Linked DNA regions of Drosophila melanogaster. The protein of the gene in region 2 interacts with the protein of the main gene of each other region in a pairwise test. Each region holds a gene or a part of one and is shown on either strand. Other genes may lie near its edges.

The links. Proteins that work in one complex are often made in the same cells at the same time.
Region 1: the proteins of zld (region 2) and Mst98Cb interact in a two-hybrid assay, tested with the Drosophila melanogaster proteins (one large-scale study listed by BioGRID).
Region 3: the proteins of zld (region 2) and CG9192 interact in a two-hybrid assay, tested with the Drosophila melanogaster proteins (one large-scale study listed by BioGRID).

What each region holds. Positions count from the first base shown.
Region 1 is NT_033777.3:28,289,273-28,296,648, forward strand, and holds Mst98Cb (Male-specific RNA 98Cb), read left to right. Parts: upstream 1-3,525; 5' UTR 3,526-3,642; coding exon 3,643-4,440; 3' UTR 4,441-4,591; downstream 4,592-7,376. Other genes in the region: Mst98Ca (Male-specific RNA 98Ca), read left to right, coding at 2,187-3,191; UQCR-14L (Ubiquinol-cytochrome c reductase 14 kDa subunit-like), read left to right, coding at 4,862-5,197.
Region 2 is NC_004354.4:19,777,870-19,786,418, forward strand, and holds the start of zld (zelda), read right to left. Parts: upstream 5,680-8,549; 5' UTR 4,985-5,679; exon of another isoform or gene 4,640-4,984; 5' UTR 4,418-4,639; coding exon 1-4,417. UniProt on the Drosophila melanogaster protein: Transcription factor required for zygotic genome activation (ZGA), a critical event in early embryonic development during which the developmental control passes from maternally provided mRNAs to the expression of the zygotic genome after fertilization.
Region 3 is NT_037436.4:1,234,348-1,241,489, reverse strand, and holds CG9192 (uncharacterized protein), read left to right. Parts: upstream 1-3,170; 5' UTR 3,171-3,254; coding exon 3,255-4,190; 3' UTR 4,191-4,357; downstream 4,358-7,142. Other genes in the region: galene, read right to left, coding at 8-213, 269-1,671, 1,736-1,862, 4,407-4,653, 4,713-4,919; CG33966 (uncharacterized protein), read right to left, coding at 6,257-6,514, 6,578-6,950, 7,016-7,142.

The sequences.
Region 1 (7,376 bases), on a different chromosome or scaffold from region 2:
TCTCATTTAACTTGTATGTATATTTATGTATATAAATGGAGTTAAGATTTCGAACCGCTAATAATTTAAAATACAATAATATTATTCACGTCTGCGCTTCAGTAGGTTAAGTCCCGACTCCGATAGAACAACGATCCATCAGCGTATATGTCTGTGAATATATATATGCTGTGCGCAGCCCATAAATAAATATATAAATTTAAATAAAGGCCGCCGCAATACCCGCACACTCACAGTTTGTTTGTCAATAAATCAGAATACTTATCAACGTCAAAGTACCGCAAAGAATGTGAGCAAACAATAAGAACTAAATGTGTGTGTGTTTCAGGAGGTCCATCAGTTTATTGGGAACTATTAAAGTTATTTATGAAAATAAATGGAATACCTACAACTTAAAAATAAAACCTTTCATTGAGCTACAAACATTTCTACACAGTGCCTAAATTATTCGACAAATGCGCCTCTATCTTGACTCCAGCAGGCATTGTGGGTGCCAATTTATGGGCAATCTGTGCTTATTTTCCCATTTCCCAGCCCAACATTGTTTTGGGCCTAGTCCCGAACTAAGTCCGCTAATTGCGCCGCCTTAGCCGGGCCATCTCGACCGGGTTTCGGGGAAGGCCCCGTCCATAATTATGCGAAATGTGCGCCATTTCTTCGGACTGTTGCCTGTTATTGTTTGCATTATTAGCTGACAATTTCGGTGGCACTGTGATGCCAAGTGGTGGGTCTGTGATTAGGCCGGCTCTTTGGGCTCTGGAAATTGTGGGATTAGCAGGCGCTTTGTCTGTGGCTAGAATCTTGGTCGGGCACCATCAGCCTGTCGCTCGATAAGCGCTCCAGGGCAACTCGAGTCCAAGAAGTTGATGTTTTTCTTGCATGATTACGACCATAAGCCAACGGCGTGTTATTGCAGGCCAAAGAAGTGGACGGTTTTCTTGGGAAACGCCCGAGTTCAAATCGATTGAACCAATGTTGCTCTTTAAATTGGTTTAATTTAGACATTTATTGTATCTCAACTTCCTGGAAGCAACTTGATTAAATTTCCTAATTTAAATAACCGGAACTATTGGACAGCAACTAATTCTGAAGAGCAAAGGCCATCTAAAATATCGCTTGATTTCTTAGCTATCACTAATGTGACTATCAATTCGAGGAAATGAAATTTTGTAGAATTAATAAAAGTCGTGTGTTATTAAGAAAATATTAAAACGTATTATATTTATTGTTTGAATACCAGAACGTTTCTTATTCCGAGCACATATTGTAGCGTTTGCCCCTCGCTTTTGGCATTTAAAATGGAGCAAATATTTTAGAATTCACCTGAATCGCATGCAAAAGCCTTTGTCAACATCAATGGTCCGCTGTGACCACGCTCTTTGTTGTAGTTTTTTGTGAATGCGCAATTGTTCAGTGTCGTCATGGCTGTGGCATGCACAAAGCGCCGATTGCAACGCCCATCCATCCACCCAGCAACCCCCCCCCCCCCCCACCTACTAAAGCTTTCAGGATATGCCATCCAACTACCAACTACCATACCGACCAAAACGCTTTTTTTTCGGCGCTGACATGTCCAGGCACTGGGGCAAAAACAAACCCATATATGTATATTCAATAGGCCGGGCGCTGCCAGAGTGTTTTCCGACGTTTTTCTGTAATTCGTTGTAGGTTTTTTCCAAGTTGGCTTTCGGCCGGTCCGAAAAAAGCGGCCTGCCTACATAAAGGCGCTAGCATATTAAAGGCTTAAACCCACTCAACGGCAGATGCCATATTGTTGAAATATATGCAGATACGTCGCGCATACGTCATGTGAAGATGGAATCCGGTTTGCAAAATGCATTCCATTCAAGCAGCGTTCTGTGATTTTTCATTGCAATCGGTTAAGCAATCGAATCCACCAGATTTATGTATTGTAAGCATATATTTCCATTCAAAGCTCAAAGCGATTTTCACCTTACCTGCACAACAAAAACACTACACTAGGGTGTGATCGTAGAGCTCGGTTTTTCAAATTTCGATCGAAGTGGGCCTGGATTATTGTGCAATGCTGTCGTCCTACTGTTATATCTCATTCAGTTTCCTGTTTCGCTCCGAATAACTTCCAAATTGAACAGTAAAAATTTGTAACAAAAATAAAGTATAATATTTTTCTAGAAATTTTATTTTGGAAAACTTAAGTCGAAAACATGTGCTCTCCGTGCGGTCCTTGTAGTCCATGCGATCCCTGCTGCGGTCCCTTCGAGTGCTCACCCAAGTGCTATAATGCCGCCCAATTGGAGGCCTTGCCACAATGTGCTCCACGTATTCCACCTCCCTTCCCCAAATGCATCACCGTGCAGCAACCACCACGCATGATCTGCAAGAAACGCGTGGTGTTCACGGAGAAGATTGTGCCGGAGCCAATGGTGGTTAACCGATGCAGACAGATTACCATTCCAAAGGTCGTTGATGCCACGCGGGTGATCAAGGTGCCCAAGCTGATTTGGGTGTCGCAGATGGTGCGAGAACCCAGAGTAATCTACTACCCCTCGATGATCCCCGATCCCTATGTGGTGTGCTATCCCAAGCGCGTCTGCGAACCCCGGGAGGTGTGTCAGTCGATCCTGTGCCAGCCGAAGCCACAGACCATCGACATTCCGCCGCCAAGGGAGTACTGCTGCTATCCAAATGGACCCATCAACTACAAGCCCAGTGCAGCGTGCCCACCCTGCCCCATTGGACCATGTGCTCCTGGAGGACCCTGCTGTCCGCTGCCCTGCTTCTCCACAAACCAGTATCCCGTTGCCGAGGGTAGGTGCGGACCCTGTGGACCTTGCGGTCCAGGATGCGGACCCTGCGGTCCGCGATGTGGTCCCTGCGGACCCGGCCCGTGCGGACCCTGTGGGCCGAGATGCGGTCCGGGTGGACCGTGCGCCGTGCCCAATTGCGGGCCCTGCGGCCTCACAATGCCGTCGGGTCCGTTTGTCCCGGCTCCGTGTGGACCCTGTGCTCCATGCGGGCCATGTGGACCGCTCGGCAATAGTCCTTGCGGTCCTTGCGGACCCTGCGGACCCTGTTCGCCCCCGTGTCCGTACGAGTCACCCGAGTGCGGCCCCTGCTACCCGTGCGCCCCAACTCCCTGGAATACCCACTGCGGCCCAGTTGGTCCTTGCGGTCCTCAAGTGCCTTGTGGACCCAGCGGCCCCTGTTAACATCATCGTTGTGCTGCCTGGATTGTTGTCAGAAACCGGTGCCCAGTGGACCAACTTGTCTATCACCAATACAGATTGCCATAGTGTATTCTCGCCGTTCTGCTCAAACACCACCAAAAAAGTCTACAGTTCTCTATACTTTGTCAACGCATGGACGACTCATTGGCTGTAAATAAAAATCGGATTTATGCATATATAAGGTTTTTTCAATTTCTTTTGACAGGTTATGCAATGGTTTCTATCCAGATAAAATTTTCTACCAAATTTTTGTCAAATAGTAGGCCTTGCCTCTGCTTGTCAATCTACCTATGTTCGTTACTCAGGCTTAGCTCGCATTTTGAATCCGGTTTCGCTTCGATACACTTCTAAATTTCTCTGATCAAATTTTATAAGAAACAAAAAACAAAAATTAACTTTTTACTCTTTCGGTTTATTCTAGTCGAAACTTAAAATGTGCTCTCCGTGCGGTCCTTGTAGTCCATGCGATCCCTGCTGCGGTCCCTTCGAGTGCTCACCCAAGTGCTACAATGCCGCCCAATTGGAGGCCTTGCCACAATGTGCTCCACGTATTCCACCACCCTTCCCCAAATGCATCACCGTGCAGCAACCACCACGCATGATCTGCAAGAAACGCGTTGTGTTCACGGAGAAGATTGTGCCGGAGCCAATGGTGGTTAACCGATGCAGGCAGATCACCATTCCAAAGGTCGTTGATGCCACGCGGGTGATCAAGGTGCCCAAGCTGATTTGGGTGTCGCAGATGGTGCGAGAACCCAGAGTAATCTACTACCCCTCGATGATCCCCGACCCCTATGTGGTGTGCTATCCCAAGCGCGTCTGCGAACCACGTGAGGTGTGTCAGTCGATCCTCTGCCAGCCGAAGCCCCAAACCATCGACATTCCGCCGCCGAGGGAGTACTGCTGCTATCCAAATGGACCCATCAACTACAAGCCCAGTGCAGCGTGCCCACCCTGCCCCATTGGACCATGTGCTCCTGGAGGACCCTGCTGTCCGCTGCCCTGCTTCTCCACAAACCAATACCCAGTGGCTGAGGGCAGATGCGGACCATGTGGACCCTGTGGACCCGGATGCGGACCTTGCGGACCCTGCGGACCTTGGGGACCAGGATGCGGTCCTTGCGGACCCTGTGGACCCTGCGGACCCTTCGGACCAGGCTGTGGTCCATGCGGACCGTGTGGACCCTGCGGACCTGGCCCTTGTGGCTTCGGTCCTTGCGGACCATGCTGATCTGTAAAACAGCTGGAAAGATCTACTTGACGTCTGCCAAAAACATTTTGTGACAACTCCGCGTTATGGAAGTCCACATCCGCGCTCAATTATATGACAGTCCAAATTAACTTTGCAAGTTTTGTAAATTAAAGAAGTGCATTGATACAATATTTAAACCACATTTTTTCTTCGGGCATTTGTTTCGGAAATTTCGTTGTTTCATTGCATTTAATATGCTATGTATTTTTCAGATAACGAAAGTTGAGATTCGGGATTTTTGTTTCGAAAGGCCTGTTGGGGAATTTTTATTTTATTTTATTATTATTTTAAAAACTCATACTTGTTAGTTCACCAGTGTAGCCCTGAGTCACCTGTCAGCTTGTGGACTTACTGGTAATAGTTGTAGTAGTCATATCCAAATTATTCTTGATCTTAAATCATGTCGAAATATGTGGCTAGAGTGGGCCCAGCGGTTTTCTCCAAGTTGGGAAAGTGGGCCTACAACATGTCTGGATTCAACCAATACGGCCTGTATCGCGATGACTGTCTGTACGAGAATGAGGATGTGGCAGAAGCAGTGCGTCGTCTGCCCCGCAAACTGTACGATGAACGCAACTATCGCATTCTTCGAGCACTGCACCTTTCCATGACCAAGACGATCCTGCCCAAGGAGCAGTGGACCAAGTACGAGGAGGACATCAAGTACTTGGAGCCCTATCTTAACGAAGTGCAAAAGGAGCGCGAAGAGCGTGAGGAATGGAGCAAAACTCATTGATCCGGATACTTCGGTTACAAAGAATGTCATAACCAAAACATAAAGGTTATTTAAATAAATCGTTAATATAAATAGGCATAGAAAAAAAAACAACTTTAATTATCTGGTTTTAATATCATAACATCTAATATCACTTTATCGCCAGCTTTTTTTAAGCGCGTCTCTCAATATCGTCAGCCGTTTAAAAATCCCCTGCGATCCACAGCAATGTCAACGCAAATAATTTTCGCATTAAGTGCATTCGCATAAATACAATATATGAAATTCATTAACAGCGAATACAATACAAATTAGTGCTGCTGGGTGGGGCGTGAGCCGCCCATTGAACATGTGTATGCCGCCCCACGATTTAAAATGACAGTGGAGGAGTGGGCGTGGCAGCGTCAGCGGCAAACAAAATGCGTGTGCATGGCCCGCACATCCTGTCAATCCTCGTATACTTATGCGCATCCTGTTTAAAATGCAGCAAACAGCAACAATGCAGTTGCAGTTGCGATTGCCGTTGCAGATGCAGATACTTTCGCAGTCGTATATATCTGCATCTCTGCCGCTGTCTGATTGTTCTGGCGCTGCCATTCGACCGGAAGAAATTATTGTTATTCGAATTGATCTGCCATAGTTTCGATTTCGATGTTGGCCACTGCGATAGGCAATGCTCCTGCCATGGAGCGATATCGCTGCGTCTGCGGCCAGTAACTGCCAGAGTTCTGATAACGTCAACGCAGGAGGATGCAGCAAACGTAATGGTTACCCTGTAATGTTAAGGGCTGAAGGTATGTAACGCTGTTCAAAATTTAGGTAAAAGTATCTCCTCAATCCTTAAATTACAAATAATAATTCAAGTAACTGTCAATCAAATCTCTACCCTACCCACATCAATTTCAAAATGATGGCTTTTAACTCGCAATTATGTACTGAGTATTTCTTAGTCTAATTCTTCTTGAGCAGCCCTTTTTTTTCAAGCCGCCATCGTTGCCGTTATTTATTTGCGCTCACATATGCATAAATAACGGGCGGTGGACGTCACCACCCACCCACCCAGCCACCCAACCAACACGGGAACGCCCAACTGGCGCTTGTACAATAAATTGCAAAAATATTATTTTATCAACAATAATTAATTAAATGCACTTAATTGCGTGCCGCAGTTGCTGTTGCTGTGTTGTTGCTCGGCTTTCATTTTTATTTATTTTTGTTGCCTCATTTTTGTGCACATTTTCTGCTGTCCCCCGTTCGACCTTGTTTTTATGCAGCTGCTACTGATGTGGCATGGTGGGTGGTGGCTGCAACATGGTCATCTGCATGCATATGCTTGAGCAGAGTTGTAAGTAGCCATGTAAGTGGACAAGTGGCCAACCGTTCCCGCATCGCATTCACTGCCATTCTCCCCGTTTGGCCGAAACTCTTTCTGCGATTTATGCGTATTTTTAAGTGGCATTAAGTGCGCGTTAACATCTTATGAAGCTGGCAGCGGCAACAATAATTTATTGCGGCAGCAGCAACATCTGGATGGCCATTAAACGCCCCGAAACAAATGCTAATTGACGAGTGCCAGAAAGTGTGCTTAAAAAAAAGAGGCGGTAAGTCGCTGGGAAAGCTTAATGAGTTGTGCGGCTAATTGGAGAAATGCAATTGCAACGCCAACGGAGGAGCAGCAGAACTTGCCGTTGCAGCTGCAACCTGCAACATCTCGAGCTGTTACATTTGCATTGTTATTGCGGCAAGTTGGTGGGCTTGCTGCATTTCTGGCTTTCTGTTGTTAATGAAGTTTGTCGGCCGACATGCGGCAGGGAGAAATATTATGCATACGCCATGTTGGCCAAAAGTTTTACAAATCCCGCTCTGTCCTTTCCTTGCCCTGCCCTCCATTTCCCGACCATGGACACTGCACGTTCCTTGGACACATTTAGTCTCAGTATGTGTATGGTAATTTACAATCCCCTGCGCTTGCAATGTACACATGCCTGCACGTGTATGGGTAAATTGTTAAATTTATACACAAAAGCAACGCTGCGCTGCAACTGCCAAAGTAATTTGCGATAAGTGCGTCAGATTCTTTGGGGAATTTTCGACCAGCACGACCACAGAAGCAGCATCACCATCACCGCTGAAAATAACAACAACAACTACGACAATAATAATGCAACCACAACAACAAGTGAAGTAAAAAGTGAATATT
Region 2 (8,549 bases):
TGGAACCGGCGGCTGGTGCACCTCCCAATCCCGCCGTGGCAGTGACTGCTGCTGCTGCTGCGGCGGCGGCTGCTGCCGCGGCGGACTTCTTGCCCACCACCCGCGGCCGATTGTGCGTCTCGAGGTGCTTGCGCAGATGATCCTTGCGACAGAAGCCCTTCTCACAGATGTCGCACATGTGCTGCTTCAGCCCCGTATGGATGGCCTCCACGTGTCGGCGCAGATCCGTCTTGTGATGGAACTGCTTGGGGCACAGCTCGCACTTATGCGGCTTGTCCTGGGTGCGGTGGCGACCCAGGTGCGTGGTGTAGACATCCTCGCTCTGAAAGCGCTTGCCGCACTTCTGGCAGCGAAATGGGTACTCACCGGAGTGGAAGCTCTTGTTGTGCTGCGTGAGGTAGCAGTTCTTGGTGAACTCCTTGTCGCACTCCAGACACTTGATCCGTCCCGATGGCAGGGTGGTCGAGTGCGGCGACGTCGATCCGACGCTGCTGTTCCGCCGTCGCTTCGTCGTCGATGGTGTTGCGTTGCCGCCACGCCGCTTCTTGGCCAGCGGCTGTTGGGCCATCGTCTGGGTCTGATCCGCCAGGATCTGTTGCTGCTGCTGGTGGTCCAGTTGCTGCTGGTGCTGCTGCATCTGATCCAACTGCTGGTGCTGCATCTGGTACTGCTCCATCTCATAGTCCTGATGGTGCTGCATCAGCGTGGCCATATCCATCTCCAGTGCGGGAGTCGCCCGCGAGCTGCTCACTGTGGGCGAGTAGGGCGTGGAGAGCACAGTCAGCGTTGGCGTCTGCGCCTCCTGCTGCCCGCCCTGCTGATGGGCATGCAGGGCCGTCGTGAGTGTGTGAACCGGCGGCAGATCGCCCTCCTGCGGCGATCGCTGGGCGGCCACCGAGTACGGCGAGAGCGGTGCATATGGCGCGAACAGGGATGTTGGCATCAGCTGCAGGATCTGGCCATCGCTGGTGGTGATCTGATTGCTATAGCCACCGCCGGCCGTTCCGGTATGCGCCTCCGGGCCACTACCAATAATAGTGTGATAGCTCATTGTGGGGTCCAGCGGCTGCAGCTGCTGGTAGCATTGCGGCGGCGGCGGCATGATGGGCATGTGCATGGTGGGCGGCATGGGCATGGTGCTGGTGATGTGCGGCGGCGGCGGCTGCAGCGGCAGCAGCTGCGGCGCTGTGATGGTGGTGAGCGGCATGGGCATGGTGGGCGGTGGGGAGCTGCTGGTGGGCGAACTGCTGCTGTGCGGCAAACTGTCCGCCAGGATTAACGCCTGCTGCTGCTGCTGCTGCTGATCCAGTTGGTGAAGCTCCCGCTGCTGCTGATGATGATCCGCCTCCTGGCGCTGGTGCTGCTCCCCCAGCTGCTGATGGAGCGGGTGGAGCACCGCCTGGTAGTGGTGCACCAGCTGCTGCTGCGGCGGCTGCATAGTGTCCGGCATACTGGTGGTGATGGTAGTAGCTAGCGGCGTGGTGCTGGTGCTGCTGCACTGCAGCATATTGCTGTGCATGAGCGTGGGCATGGGCATGGGCATATCCAAAGCCAGCATGTTGTAGTCCATTGCCATAGGCGGCAGCATTCCCATAGGCGGCAGCGGCTGCGGCGGCGGGGTGGTGCGCGAGAAATCCGTTCCCTGCTGCTCCTGCCGGTAGATAGTATGGGGCGAGTTGCTGCTGGGCGTGCTGGGATTGGTGTTGCTGCTGCTGAGCGTGTTGGGCGTGCTGCTGTGGTAATGACGCGCCGACAGCAGATACTGCTGCGACGCCTGTTGATGCTGATGCAGGTGATCGTCCGCCTGCTCCTGATCCCGCAGCTCCTGCTCCTCCGCCTCCTCCGTGGCCATTGAGCTGCTGCTGCTGCTGCTGTGGCTCCTGTCCTGGCTGTGACTGTGATTGGGATGCGTGTGTGTGTGGGTGTGAGTGTGGTTGCTGTCCTCCATTTGCTCGCTCTTTATAGCTACCGTGGTGGCCGCCGTTGTTGTTGTTGTTGCTGTTGTTGTGATTTGTGGTGCTCGGGTTGTTGTTGTTGGTGGCGGCGTGGTTGTTGTTTCGTTCAGCAGGCCCCTCATTTGGGAGGACGGCATTTGGGTGGTGTTGTTGTTGTGTGGGGCGGAGGGACCTGCTAGCCCGTTTGGGTGACCGTTCAAAACGGAGTTGTGGTGCTGCGGCATCTGCTGCTGATGGTGCTGCTGCTGTTGTTGCTGCTGCTGCTGGTTGTTGCTGTTGTTGTTGGAAGCGTGCTGTGGTGAAGCGTTTGTCGTGGATTGCACTTGTTGCTGCATGTAGCCATAGCCGTTGGCGGTGCCATTAGCATAGCCGTTGGCCTGCTGCTGATGGTGGTTGAGGTGGTGCTGCTGCTGCTGTGTGGGCGAGGGTGAGGCCGAGTACTGGGACATGGCAGCGCCGCCCATCGCTCCCACGCCCAAGCCGCCTCCTCCGCCATAATCGGGCGGACTTCTAGGCGGCTCCGGGGGTGGCACATTGGCCGGCGGCGGCGGTATCGGCGGCTGTTGCTGCTGACCCTGACCGCTGGCCGAGGCGGCAGCTGCAGCGGCGGCCGCAGCGGCTGCGGCATTGCCCCTGCGACTGGGCTTCGTCACCGGGTCGCGGGCGGGATGGTGGTGCGCCGAGATGGGCAGGGTGGCTGGATCCGGCTGGCCGCTCGACTTAACCGCATTCTTGTGCAGCGTCGTATTGTAGTGGCGCTTAAGATGGCCCGAGCTGGTGAACCACTTGTTGCAGGCCGTGCAGTTGTACGTTTTCGGACGGCGCGCCTCGTTCGACTTCCAGGTGGCCGCCTTGGCCGTCAGGCTGTTGGCCGGCAGCACGGAGCTCGAGCTGGGTGGCTCGAAACCGCGGTATCCACCTCCTGGCGCCGCACCCGCCGCTCCCTCCTGCCCTGGTCCGCCCGTAGTGGTGCTGGGGAACTCCGCCGGACTGGTGGCCACGCTGGCGCACAGTTCCGCGCCACCAGCTCCGCCAGCTGTGGGATCGAAGGACTTGTCCACGTAATGCTGCGAATCGGGATACTCGGACTTGATCAGTCCGTGGCCGCCGTACTCCTGCTTGATCAGCGTGGCTCCGCCAACGCCGGTTGACTGATGATAGGGTGACTGCTTTGGTGAGTAGTAGGGCGACTTGTCCACACCGACTCCCAGCCCCACGCCCAATCCCTGCTGCATGTAGGGTGGCAGGCCCTCCACGGAGGCCACCGTCTGCTGTGGCTGCTGCTCCCAGCTGTGGAGTGCGCGCTGCTGCATAGATTGCATCGAGTGCAGCGGATCCGGCAGAGCGCCCAGCGGCAGTCCAGCGACCACGTCGTGTTGCTGTTGTTGCTGCTGGAGCAGCTGCTGGTGATAGACCATCTTCTGGGAATCTAGGTCGAGTAATTCGCCGGGATTGGCCGTTGCGGATCCAACGCCGGGTGGCTGTGGTGTGGGCATCTCCTCCTTGATGTACGGTGAACTGGCGTAACCGCTGCTGCCGTACGGCGACTCTCCGTGCACGTTGGCGATGTGCTCCTGTAGCTCCGACTCGTTGGTGGTGAGGATGCCGCACTTCTTGCACTGCAACTTGCATCCGGCACTTCCGGCGGCTCCGCCTGGTGAGCCTGGTGTCTGGCCACTGGAGCTGCCCAGCTGCAGGTGCGAGGACGTCGACGTTGGACTGCTGCTGCTAACCACACGCGGACTCATGGCCACCGCTGTGGTGGTGCTGACCGCGCTGGGCGCACTGCCCGCCTCCTCCTGTGCCGAGCTGGCCGTTGGAATGCCTCCCAGTCCGGAGGTTGGCGTCTGCAGGTAGGGATGATAGCGAACACCGGCGCTCTTGCCATAGTCAACGCCCACGGTGCCAAAGGCGTAATCAGTGCCCTGCTGCTGCTGCTGTTGCTGCTGGTAGAACTGCTCGTAGCTGTTGATGTAGCTGCTGGCGTAACCCTGCTGCTGCTGCATGTCCCCGCCGTAGAGTCCGCCGTAGATCTGCTGCTGTTGTTGCTGCTGTCCGCCAGATGCGGAGTACATGTGGTGGGTGGCGTACGGCTGGTGGGTGATACCCGTTACCTGCTGCTGCTGTTGCTGCTGCTGGGGATCTCCTCCACCCATGGCCTGCTGCTGCTGCTGTTGCGATTGTGGCTGCTGCAACTGTTGCTGCGTCGATTGCTGCTGTTGCGTGGGCTGCGGCGTGCCGGGTTGATTATCACTGGAGTCGGCGGCGGCGCTAATTGTGGCATTGGGTGTGGCGGGCGCACTGCCTACGCCTCCCGTTCCTCCCGCTCCTGGTCCGCCCGATCCTCCTCCACCTCCTCCTCCTCCTCCTCCTGCTCCTCCCCCACCACTGTCTGTAGCACTGCTGGAGGCGAGCGCCTCTGCCGCGTGCAGGGGCGGCATCTCGGTCTTAATGCTCGTCATGGACCGCTACATAAGTCGATGCTTGGTGGCTGCTCGGTGTTTCGCTTCTCATGTCTCGAGCTCTCCGGGATCAGTGGTGCATCCTCTGCTCCTGCTGCTACGCTGCTTGCTTTTCGTTGGCTCTGCTGAGCCGATCGTTTTTGTTTTGGGTTTTTATGTTATATGCTCTCGTTTCGTTTTATTTTTTTGTGATTTTTTGTTTTTTTGTGCTTTGTATTTGTACTGAAAATAAGCCAATTATTGTTTAAGCCATTATTAGTTTGAAGTTACTTGAGTTGCAAACGGAAAAAAAACAAACACATGCACACTGTGTTTTCAAAGCTTTTGGTGTCTAACGGTTCTTGGTGTCCATTTCACTTCGATGCGAAATTGCAGGCACTTTTGTAATTTGATTTGTATGGTGGAAATACAATAGCTTTTACTTGCGAACGTAATGTCAACTGCAATTGTTTGTGGAGAGCACACATGGACGCTCACGACGCACACTAACACACACACTCGAAAAAAATATATACATGAAGGATCCTCGATGAAGATCCCTTTTCCGTTCTCTTTTGCTTTTCTTACTTATCTGCGCCTCGCTTTGGGCACTTCTTCGTTGGACTTGGACTTCTGCTTCGCTCCTTCTTCTTCTGCTCCGCTCCTCCTCCTTCTTCTCTTTCACCGCTCCTCTTCGGCGAAACGAAAGACACACAACAGCAGACTCGATAAATAATACGAAACTGAACTGAACTGAACTGAAGAAACCAATATCGGAACCGCAACGAATGCTGGTCAATTTTGAATTTCGAATTTTGTTTTTGCGAATTGCGAGGGAAGCGAGAATGGCGATGCGATGTGATCACACTCTCCCTATCTCTCTCTCTCTCTCTTTCTTGCTCTCTCTCGCCACTTTTTTTTTTACCGGTGATTTAGAGTTTTTCGGTTTGGGTTCGCTTTTCGCTTCGCCCTTTTCCAAAAGATCACTGGAATTCGCGTTTATCGTTTATCGGGGATCGGATCGAACAGAAAAAAATTGTTTACGAACACAAGTATTGCATCGGAATTAAATTTGTTGTTGATTCCCGAGCCGCGATTAGTTCGTTTAGTTTGTTTTTCAATTGGTTTGCCGAAAAGTTGTTGCCAAAAATGTTGCGTTTTGTGAGTGGGGAAAATGAAACAAAAAAGGGCGCTAAAAGTAGCCGCTCCACTCCGTTCGCACGCTTCGTCGCTTTTTCACCCGTGTCCTTCTGTCTGCTACGGCGTTCCAAATACAAATGACCGACAAATACACCGCCGTGCATGCGGCACATTCGTTCTACCCGTTCTGCCGGCAGCGACGCCGGCTGCGACTGTGGCTGCGGCGTCGCAGTCGACGCACATGCGTGGCTGTGTGTGTGTGTGCGCTATATACACTGCGCGGCGGCGTTTCGGTTATGTGCGTGCTGTCTCTGTCGCGCACGGCTGCCGTCAACGCCGCTGCATTTGATTTTGCTTTGCTTTTGGTTTTGCCTTTGCTTTGCGCTGCCTTTACTTTGCAATACCCTTTGCATTGAGAGTACCACAAGTTAGCTCGGAATCAAGATAAAGTATCCCATGCATAATTAGCATTAGTTGAGACCTAAGTTTTGCAATCTGTTTAGATCGAACTAATAAATCCTCTCGAAGACATGTACATAAACGATTAGTCGCAATTTGAATGCTTATATTTTTATGCCTTGAATGGCATTATTAGTGAAAACTGATGTTTAATATACATATATACATATGTTTTATAATGCACACATATATACATACGTTTTATAATGCACACAAATTTGAATCCTTTTTTGCAAGCCATCACAATTTTCCACAGAAAATTGCTGAACGGTTATAAAAAAGTAATTTAAGTAAGGTCATTGATAACCGGTTTTGCACTTAACAATCCGTAGAATTTGGATGGATCGCAATTGTAAAGTGTATTTGTAATAATACACAACTTCTGCATTGCCTTTCTAGCAGCAAATCAATAGCTTTGATCGTGTTAAAATGATTTTCCACTGTTTATTTATGAAATTATTTCGCTGTATTTGCGTTTCTGGATATATACAGCGAACTGCATATATTTAAGCCGCCCTAGGCACTAAAAATTTTATATGAAATTGTTTTCTTTAGGATGGTTGGATTTCGAAATGTTTATTCCGATCTCTAGCTTAAAACTCTGGCAGTTCGTAGAAGTCATCTACGCTATGAAGAACTTACCATATAAATAAATGTTTATGTACTCTATTGTAATAGCAAAATTTAGCTTAAGTGGCGATAATGTGGATTTTTCAAGAACACAGCGAAGATTGGTTGGCCCTTTTGTGTGATCCACCGATTACCATATCGCAACTCGCCTAATTTAAAGCTGTGTTGCAGTTCTAGGCTTGGTTGCTCAGTTGTGCCCGTTTTTTTTTTTTTAGCCTTGGTACGAACGGCGGCTTATTAATAGACTCCTCGAAGCGTCTTAGTCAGATGTTGACTCACTGGACCGGGCCAAAACCAATTCGCACTACTAGCCTAGTTTCTGAGCGACCGGCAACCGACGATTATCGACGTCACGGGCCTCGTAAAAGTTGAGAACGTTCAAAAAATTAATAAACCAAACTTTTATTGCGTTGGGCATACGGGAGTGCAGAGCTGAGAGACAACGAAAGCTAATCTACATTTAAAAAGAAAGGAAAAAATCGTAAGCTAGGACTAACGGATACCCTGTTATCAGATTCTGTCATAAGATCATAAGCTCACTAGAGAAACTTTTTTAAATAGAAGACTAGAAGAAGACTAAGCATGTAAGTAAGTATGCATAAGTATGTATGTACATATATATTCCAAAGATGCAGGCGATCTTTCGTCTTTCGAATGGGTATGCTTTTTCCAATCTACGATTAAGGGGTATAAATAGCGACAGAAAGGGTTTGAATCTGTTGGTAACTATGGGGTTTCAAGTTGTTTTAGGTTTTATTTTTTTTTTTTTTTTTTGCTGGGCAACTGGAGCTGGGAATCAAGCTCAGCTGAGAATGGCCCAAAAGTATTTAAAAATTTCGTAAGAGAAAAGGCGAGGGCTAATGGAGCCCAGATACGAGTACCTCCATCGCAGCCACACAGATACGAACTCCACTGTGCGGCTGTGTGCGTGGGGCCTTGAGGAAGAGTTTAGATTGGAGTAGGGCCGGAGGAGGGAGCGAGAGAAGGCGAGAGTGAGGCGGCGGAGAAGAGTGCGACAGAGAGGCCTGAAATTTACATACATGATTGTCATAAAAAATCAGCAAGCAAATTGTCAAATCCCTAAACTGACAATAAAACAATAAAGCAAACGACGAAGACGAAGACGCGGGCGAGACGGACGACGAATGTGGGTGGAAGTGTGGAGAAGAAGGCGAAGAAGAAGGAGGAGGAGGAGGAGGATGGGGCAATGCGAGGGAGGGAGAAAACGATTGGCGAGTTGAGTGATTGGCAGTGAAAACCGGCTGCAAATCCCGAGATCTGATATTCCACATATGTATATGTATGTACATATCTCACGGATAGTTAAACTCCGTTAGGAGATATCTATGAAACCAATTTGTTGGTTAAAAATATATTTTTATTCAGTATATTTAGTATACATTCATACACTTATGTATATCGTCACTATTCGACGATCTGCTGTACATTTTCTTTGTATTTCTTTGATTGCACAGTTTATTTAGTGATTAAAAAATGTATTAAGCCTAGTTAAAAAAGCCTACTAACCATTTCTTAATTATCATTAATTTAATATTGAGATAAACCCCACAATTTCCATTGATTCCCTAATCGGTAATTAACTTATATATGCATATGTTCATACTTATGTACATATGTACATATGTTATAGAGAATTATGGACATGTAGAAATTGTTAGCATATGTTGCCTGCGGTGGCAGGTGGCAAAATGGCTGGAGGGGAGAGCATTGCTGCAAAAGCTGATGCAACTGTTGCAGCTGATGCAGTCGACTGCAATGGGATTAGCCCATTTTATGGCGCATTTATGGGCACGCAACAGTTGACCTGCAGTGGCAAAAGTTGCAGAACTTCCAGGCAGGTCATCTGCCCCTCCAGGTCTGCAGATACAGATACATGGTAGCAATTAATTATACCCTGTAATCG
Region 3 (7,142 bases), on a different chromosome or scaffold from region 2:
TCTATTACTAATCCTCATCCTGCTCGTCGTCATCATCCTTAAGAATGCCCAGACGGCGGGCTACCTCCTTCACATTGGCAATGAACTCCTCCTGGACCAGGTTAAAACTCATGGCCAACAAGGCAATGCCGAAAAGAAGGTACAGCGAGCAATAGGCGATGGACTGCTCCGACTCGTCCTTGACTCCTTTCGCGGGGACAAAGTCACCAAATCCTGTAATGCAAAAGCAGATGAAAAGAGTGCGCAAGGAATTGGGATAAACACAAACCGATTGTTGTCAGTGTAATGAAGCAAAAGTAGGCGGAATCCAAGAAGGACCAGTTCTCCCAGTACGCAAAAAGAACAGCTCCGCCAAGGATGTAGCTCACTACCAGAAAGACGCATAACCAAATGGGGACAGGTCGATCCTTGGGCAGCAGATCTCCATAGTCCCCATACTCATCCCCGTACATAGAGTCATCGTCGTCGTAATCGTAGCTGGGTCGCCGACGGATTTGCCGCTGGACCGGAAATCCCATTGGTGACATGATTCTCGGGGAAGGGGGCAAACGTTCAGCCCGCTCTCTTCGGCGATTTCTTTTTGGTTCTCGACTCCTTGAGTGGTGGCGCTCAGGCGGATAATCCTCGTAGTTATTGTCTCCGTAAAGGGATCCCTCATCGAAGCTCTCTTCCACGTAGTCCTCGTAGCGACCCTGGGAGTGACCACGCCTATCCCGTCGATGGTCCCGTCCCGGCGGTGGAGCATCATAGTCGGGAAGTTCGAGATGGTTGCCATAGCGAGATGATTGCCTGCCCAGACTTCCAGCTCGTCTATCATGCTGTTGGCGATAGGAGCTCTGCGGTGGCGGCTGTGGAGATCGTTCCCGTTCTCTGTCCTTCTGGCGTTGCCTTTGGTGAGCAGATCTGGGCATGGATTGACTCCTTGGAGCTGCTTGTCTTCTGTTGCCCCCGAAGTCATCTAAAGCATACCTATTTGGTATAATTGGTGTTTTCCTCACCACGTCCTCGTCGACGTCTTCGTAATGTGAAGAAACGTGCCTGGGATCCACGGACTTGGCCCTACTTCTCCCAGGTGCCGAGTGAAGACGATGCAGTTCTCTGGACGCTTTGGAAGATTCCTGATTGTGTGGCGATCGAACCGATCGCACACTGGCAGCTCTTTTCGCAGGAGGTTGCATGTCACCGAAGTCCTCAATGGATCCAGCATCCAAGTGGGATCGAGAGTAGCGCTCCCTTTCTACCGTGTGTCTGTCCCTCATCCGATCCCGTTGTCTTTGCCGGCTACTGTAGCGGTTGGATCTGTTCAGGGTCTGAGTTTCGTACCCATCTCCGTAAATGGTGTGACGCTGGCGAGGATCGTGATGCAAATGCTGCTGCTGCTGCTGACGACGATTGCGTCCGCCTCCACTGCTCCGATGTCCGAACTCGCGGTCATCGTAGCCCCGGCCCATGGTGCGCAGGTCGGGATCTGAATAGGCATGACCCATGGAAGGACCCAGACCCGAGTCATTCCCAGACCGTTGGGTCATCTTCATGGAGCGCCGGAACGAGGGCGGCGGCTGGGATCGGGCATGGCGCTGAGAGCGCATCGATCTCTGCCGGGATCGGGCATTCCTCGGACGTTTGGCCGTGCGGGTGCACACATAGCAGCATATTCTCCAGTACAGAAACCTATATTGGAATATATGTATGAAAACATACTCATTTAGTTCTCAGCTCATCGATGTCAACTCACCGAAATGATGTGGCCATGACATCGCCAATGTTGGACAAGCAGATGAGCATCAGCGGAATGCCCACAATGGCGTAGAAAATCGTTGTCACCTTGCCCCAATCCGTACGCGGCGATATGTGACCATAGCCTGTCCAGAGAATGACAAGGAACACATAATTACTCTTTCGCAGATAGGTAAGATTGATTTTGAGTCACCTTTCACCTTCAACCTCGTGACCGCAAAGTTCTTGAAATACTAATGAATCTAAGACCCGCTAAGGCCCAATCCCCAATCCATATGTACTTCTTTTTGTTCATGCCAAGCCCATTATCGCTTCGAAATAGCAAACATGGCATTTCAAGTCTGCCGCTTTTGGCCTTTACGGAAGTGTGCAAATTCGTAGATAGCATTCTGTGCCCCTCTTCGCGGGGTTCTATCTGATGGGCGTCGGTCACTAAACCCATTTGTGTGCTAGCCGTAAATCCATATCGGGGAAAAGTGCAGACGAAAAGCGTAAAACTAAGCTCCCATCATCAACAGCCAGAGCTAATAAACTGATTTATACCAAATACTTCCACTCGAAAGCCGAAAAGTTGAATGCTCTAAGTGGGTTAAAGTGAAAAAGGTTTCTGTATACTTTTAAAGTAGGAGAGTTTATAGAGTTCTTGGGGTTTGCTTAAGGCCTTCGATTGAAAACCTTCCATGCACCACTTCCCCTTTTATGAGTAATCACTAATCACCAACACCCCCTGTGTGTTAGGGTATACTAATAATGAGAAATTCCCATCGTTAAAATCTAAAAATCTGAAATGCCAGAAAAGATAATCACGATCGGTCAGTGGCGTTTGACCTTGCTGTTGTTTTGACCACAAACAATTGGATGGCAGCAATCCACTTTTGGTTTCATTTGACACGCTCCACACACCCTCGCTCCCTTTGAAAGCCATCACCACCCGAATGAACCCATTTTTAGAGGTCAACCACGTGCTGGCTGCTCACCTGACTGTGTCCGAGCTGAATCTTTGACTTGTGACTCCCGCCCTGCAAAGGAAGCAAGCATATGTTTTCCAACTCATGGAAATTCCCAGGAATAAGCTTTTAGGTCGATCGGTGGTGGTCAATTACCGTGATTTATGCGATTTCAACGTGATCGCTGTGTGGACAAAACCAATTGTCCGACTCATCCGCTTGCCTCATTGGTTCCTGGGCGGATTGCGGTCTGGTCGCGCTTCAGGTGAATCAACGTGGGCCAAGACTTGGGCCACAGATCTCTGAAGATTTCTGTCTGGCACGATCGTTGATTCATTGGTCGGGCAGCCGCCGAATGCGAATACCTGCGGCTGCCCTCGTCGCTTGACTGAGTTTGTGCGTCGTCATCGCCGCTGATGTCTCTGGCGGTTGTATTTGTTTTTTGGTTCTCGGGTGCGGTTATATAAGTAGTGTGTGCCGGTCGCATTTTCGAACTATTCTGTTGCGGGAGCTTGCCGCGATCAAGCGCAAAAATCGGGTCAGTGTGTAATCGAACAAAGCGTGCCAATCATGCCAAGCTATTGCCTCATCATCGTCCTATGCCTTCTTGGATCAGTGGCGGCTAAGTCTTCGGATGGAGATCGAGATCAGTGGGTCTGGAGGTCCTACAATCGCAGGGAGCGCTCTTTTCGGGACATCAATCGCAGTTCCCCCATAAGGAACTCGTACGACGAAAAGCTGAGGCGGGAGCCCACGACTCGAAGACCTTTTCCGGGCGAACCGGAGAATGATGAGATAGAGGACTATGCCGATGTGGAGCCCACCAGGTCATCGGACACTCCCAACGTAGGCACCCGTCAGTTTAATCCATACGGTGGTCAGACCAATGCCGGACAGTTCGGAGGACTTGGAGGCTATAACGGAAACCCCGGAGTGCTAGTCGGACCTGGCGGACCCACCGGAATCATAGGGAGACCGCAGCTATACCCCACTCCCTATCAGCCAGGCTATGGTGGATTCTCTGGAGCTCAAAATGGCATTAGTGGATATCCAGGCGGATACGGAGGAGTAGGACAGGGACTTCCCGGAGCTGGATTCCCCGGAGCCAGCGTGGGTGGTGGGTTTAACAACTTCCCCAGTAATGGACTTGGCCTCAACCAATTTCCTGGCAATGGGCAATACCCTTACGGCTCCTATCCAGGTGGCGACTTCGGTGGAAGCCAATTCGCGGGCGCAGGTGCCCAGTTCCCAGGATTGGGACAGTACCCAGCAAACCAACAGTTCGGTGGACCTCAGTACACCGAGGGCTATGGTCTGGCAGGAGGACTGGGCTTAGGTCAACTTGGAGTAGGCAACGGTGGACTCGGATACGGTGGAAGTTTTCCACCTCTAGGAGGAGGCTTCGGCTATGACGAGAAATCGCCAGCTGTGGCCGATGGTAAGAGTGCTAAGAGTGTGGCAGCGTCACCCAGAAAAGTGAATGATAAGCTCAGTAAGAAGGTCTAGAGCTTCGTGTTTTAGAAGTGGAAGGTGTTATGTTAAAGATATGGAACTGAAGCTATTACTTTCCCACTCAACCCTCCTTTTTCCCTTAGGCTGAGTTGGAAGTAGTCACCTTAGTGTAGGCATAGTTTACGTATAGACTAAGCAAATAAATTCCCATGTTTACTCACACATGACTTTGAAGAACTCAATCCATAAGCTTAAAAAAAACATACTCACCTATGGTCGTTATCACAATAATCGAGTAGAACAGGGATCCGGCAAAGGTCCACTGGGACTTGCGCAGATCCTCGTCGCCATCCCAGCCGTCGGCCTTGATGGCCGTAAGGATTTGCTTTTCAAAATTGGCCAGGTGCTTGCTGACATTGGCCATCCAATCGCTTTCCCTTAGGACCACTGCGTCGTCGGACAGTAGCCAGATATTCTCCGTGAGATTAACGCGAAGATTCTGTATGTCTCGCTTCACCTGCATGGGGATTTTGGATTTTTAGCATTTGAGACCTTCCAGCAAAATCACCCACTCACCTCTAGTTCGTGGGGTCGTTCGAGATGCTGGAAGAGGTAGGCACCGCCCACGCAATAGGAAACCACGAGAAGCACGAGCAGCACATGGGACACAATGCAGGTGAGCACCTTCCACGAGAAGCAGATGGCAGCTACACAGCGTCCGCGTTGCGGCTTCGCTGGCTCCAACATGTGCGCCGGCAGAGATTGGGCCCGCCTACCCGACATGGTCACCCTCCTCTGGCCTCCTCCTTCCTTTGGCTAATTTGCCGCTCGGTTGGCTGTGAATTATGAAAGGCAAAATAAACTAAATAAAGGATGGGACGAAAATGTTTGGAGGTCGGCCTGGCAAATACCCTTAGAAATTGTAAATTGTTGTTGAGATGAAGAGTTGTTTGAGAGTGCCTCTCCGAAGTAATATATTGTAGTAACCTTAATGGGAATGCTACATAATGTTTAAAATTATGCCTGCGAATAAACACGCCTTCTATGGCGTTCGTTTCAGAAATCGTTGGTAATCTCCAAAGGAGCAATTACCGAGAAGCCAAAAGGTAAACCAGACAAAGCTCCACGGCACATATGTTTATTTGTCCAAATATTTATTTATTTGGGTTGCTGGGGCAAGGCCGAAGAGCCAAGGGGATCAGGTGCGGAAGACTCGACTCCATGAGACTATTTTGGGTGCCGCCGCCCGGCGGGGCATTCATCTCATCGTCAAATCTCGTGCCACGCCTGTCGAGAACTCTGCTGGTTCCTCTTGCTTATAGATGCGGACTACATAACATGTCCGAGCAATTATGAACTTCGATTTCATGTGGGCAATTAGCGCTGGTGAATTATGGGCCCATCGGGATTGGGCATTGGACTGCTGTTAATGATGATTACCGATCGCTGATCGCCTTCTGATTCGCACTGAGGAAAACTTTTCAGTTTTCCACATTAAGTTCCATGCTGTATATTTTGCCCGCACTCTCCCGTCTTCCGTCTAACAATCCGTTTCCGATTCTATATCCGATGGGATCCGTACAGAGAAAAGAAGCACCGATCCGTACGAGCCACAAATTCTTACTGCGGATCGCAGCTACAGATGGACTCTCCACGGATCGCTCGGGAAATTGGGTTTATTTTTGGTCTAACGCGAAGTTCTCTTGTCTTCCGTAGATATATAGTTTTGGAAAAACTTTTATTTTCGGCTTTTCTCTGGTCGTCGTTTGTTTTGTATTGTTTGGCTCTCTCAGTCGTCGCACTTTGTGTTTTGATTATGGTGTCTATCTGATTGAAGGAATCAATTAATCTGCTGCTACAGGTGGTCTAACTGATAAGCAATGCATGGACTTAATCTACAATTTTTAAATGAAAATCATAAACTCGTTAACGTGTAATTGAATATAAAATTAACTATCTTTATTACATGCTGTGCTAAGTTTTCGGCTTGTTTTTTATGCTCTTAGCGCTATGCTTATCACAAATCGACTGGTGTACAACCATTACCTTTGTTACCTTAGATAAGAGCTGCAGCTAAGACTATTTTAAGCAATTTAGCAGGGTTAGGAGGGCTTGACACTTCAGTCCACATTCAATTGCCGGAAGGAGCCCTGCAGACCAAAAAGACTCTCGAAGTCAACAGGCTGACCCACTCGGAGGCTTTCATCGGTTCCGTAGTTCTTCTCCTCCTCCCAGTAATTCCGGTAGGCTAGAATACGCTGCTCCCACTGCTGCAGCAGCTCCGGAATCGATCCGTTCTCCCCTCCGTATTCCACTGGCAAATACTGTTTGGGAATCTGATTGTAGAGTGCCTCCCATTTGCTTCCATGAACGTAGAGCTGGCGGTGTAAGAGAACTTCAATTACCTTCCAACTTTGCTTGGTGCAGTTGGGGTTACTTACGCGTCCTTGCTGCTTCTTAGACATCATGGGCTTGATCATATTGAAGATGGTGTCAAATCCGTTGGGCGTATTAATGAAATGGATTCCCTGCGGTCGCAGGGGCAGGGCCTCCTCCTGAAAAACGGTCATCTTCTTGGCGAAGGACGGTGACATCTGCAGGAAGTGCCCGGTGGTGACATTGGACAGATCCAGAATGGATATTAAACCATTCACAATGGCCACATCGTCCTCGTCGAGCATAATCTGCTGCATGAGACCAGCAGCTCGATTCACCTCCTGGAGGGTGTATTTGCTGGGATCATAGCAGGCCATGCGCAGCAGAGCCAATCGCGGGCCATTATCGTTTAGAGGACGTGGCAGAATAACTATGGTGCTGGAGAAAGATTAATGAAGTGGGTTAGACAAAACATTTCTGGGATTTGCATCTCTCCAGCTCACCCCAATCGGAATATCTCCAGTGCTTTGTCCACATCGACATTATGACCCAAATAAAACTCTGGGTACTTGGTGCGTAGTGTGTAGAACCTGTCGATCTTCGACTTGGTCCTTTCCAAACTGAACTTGC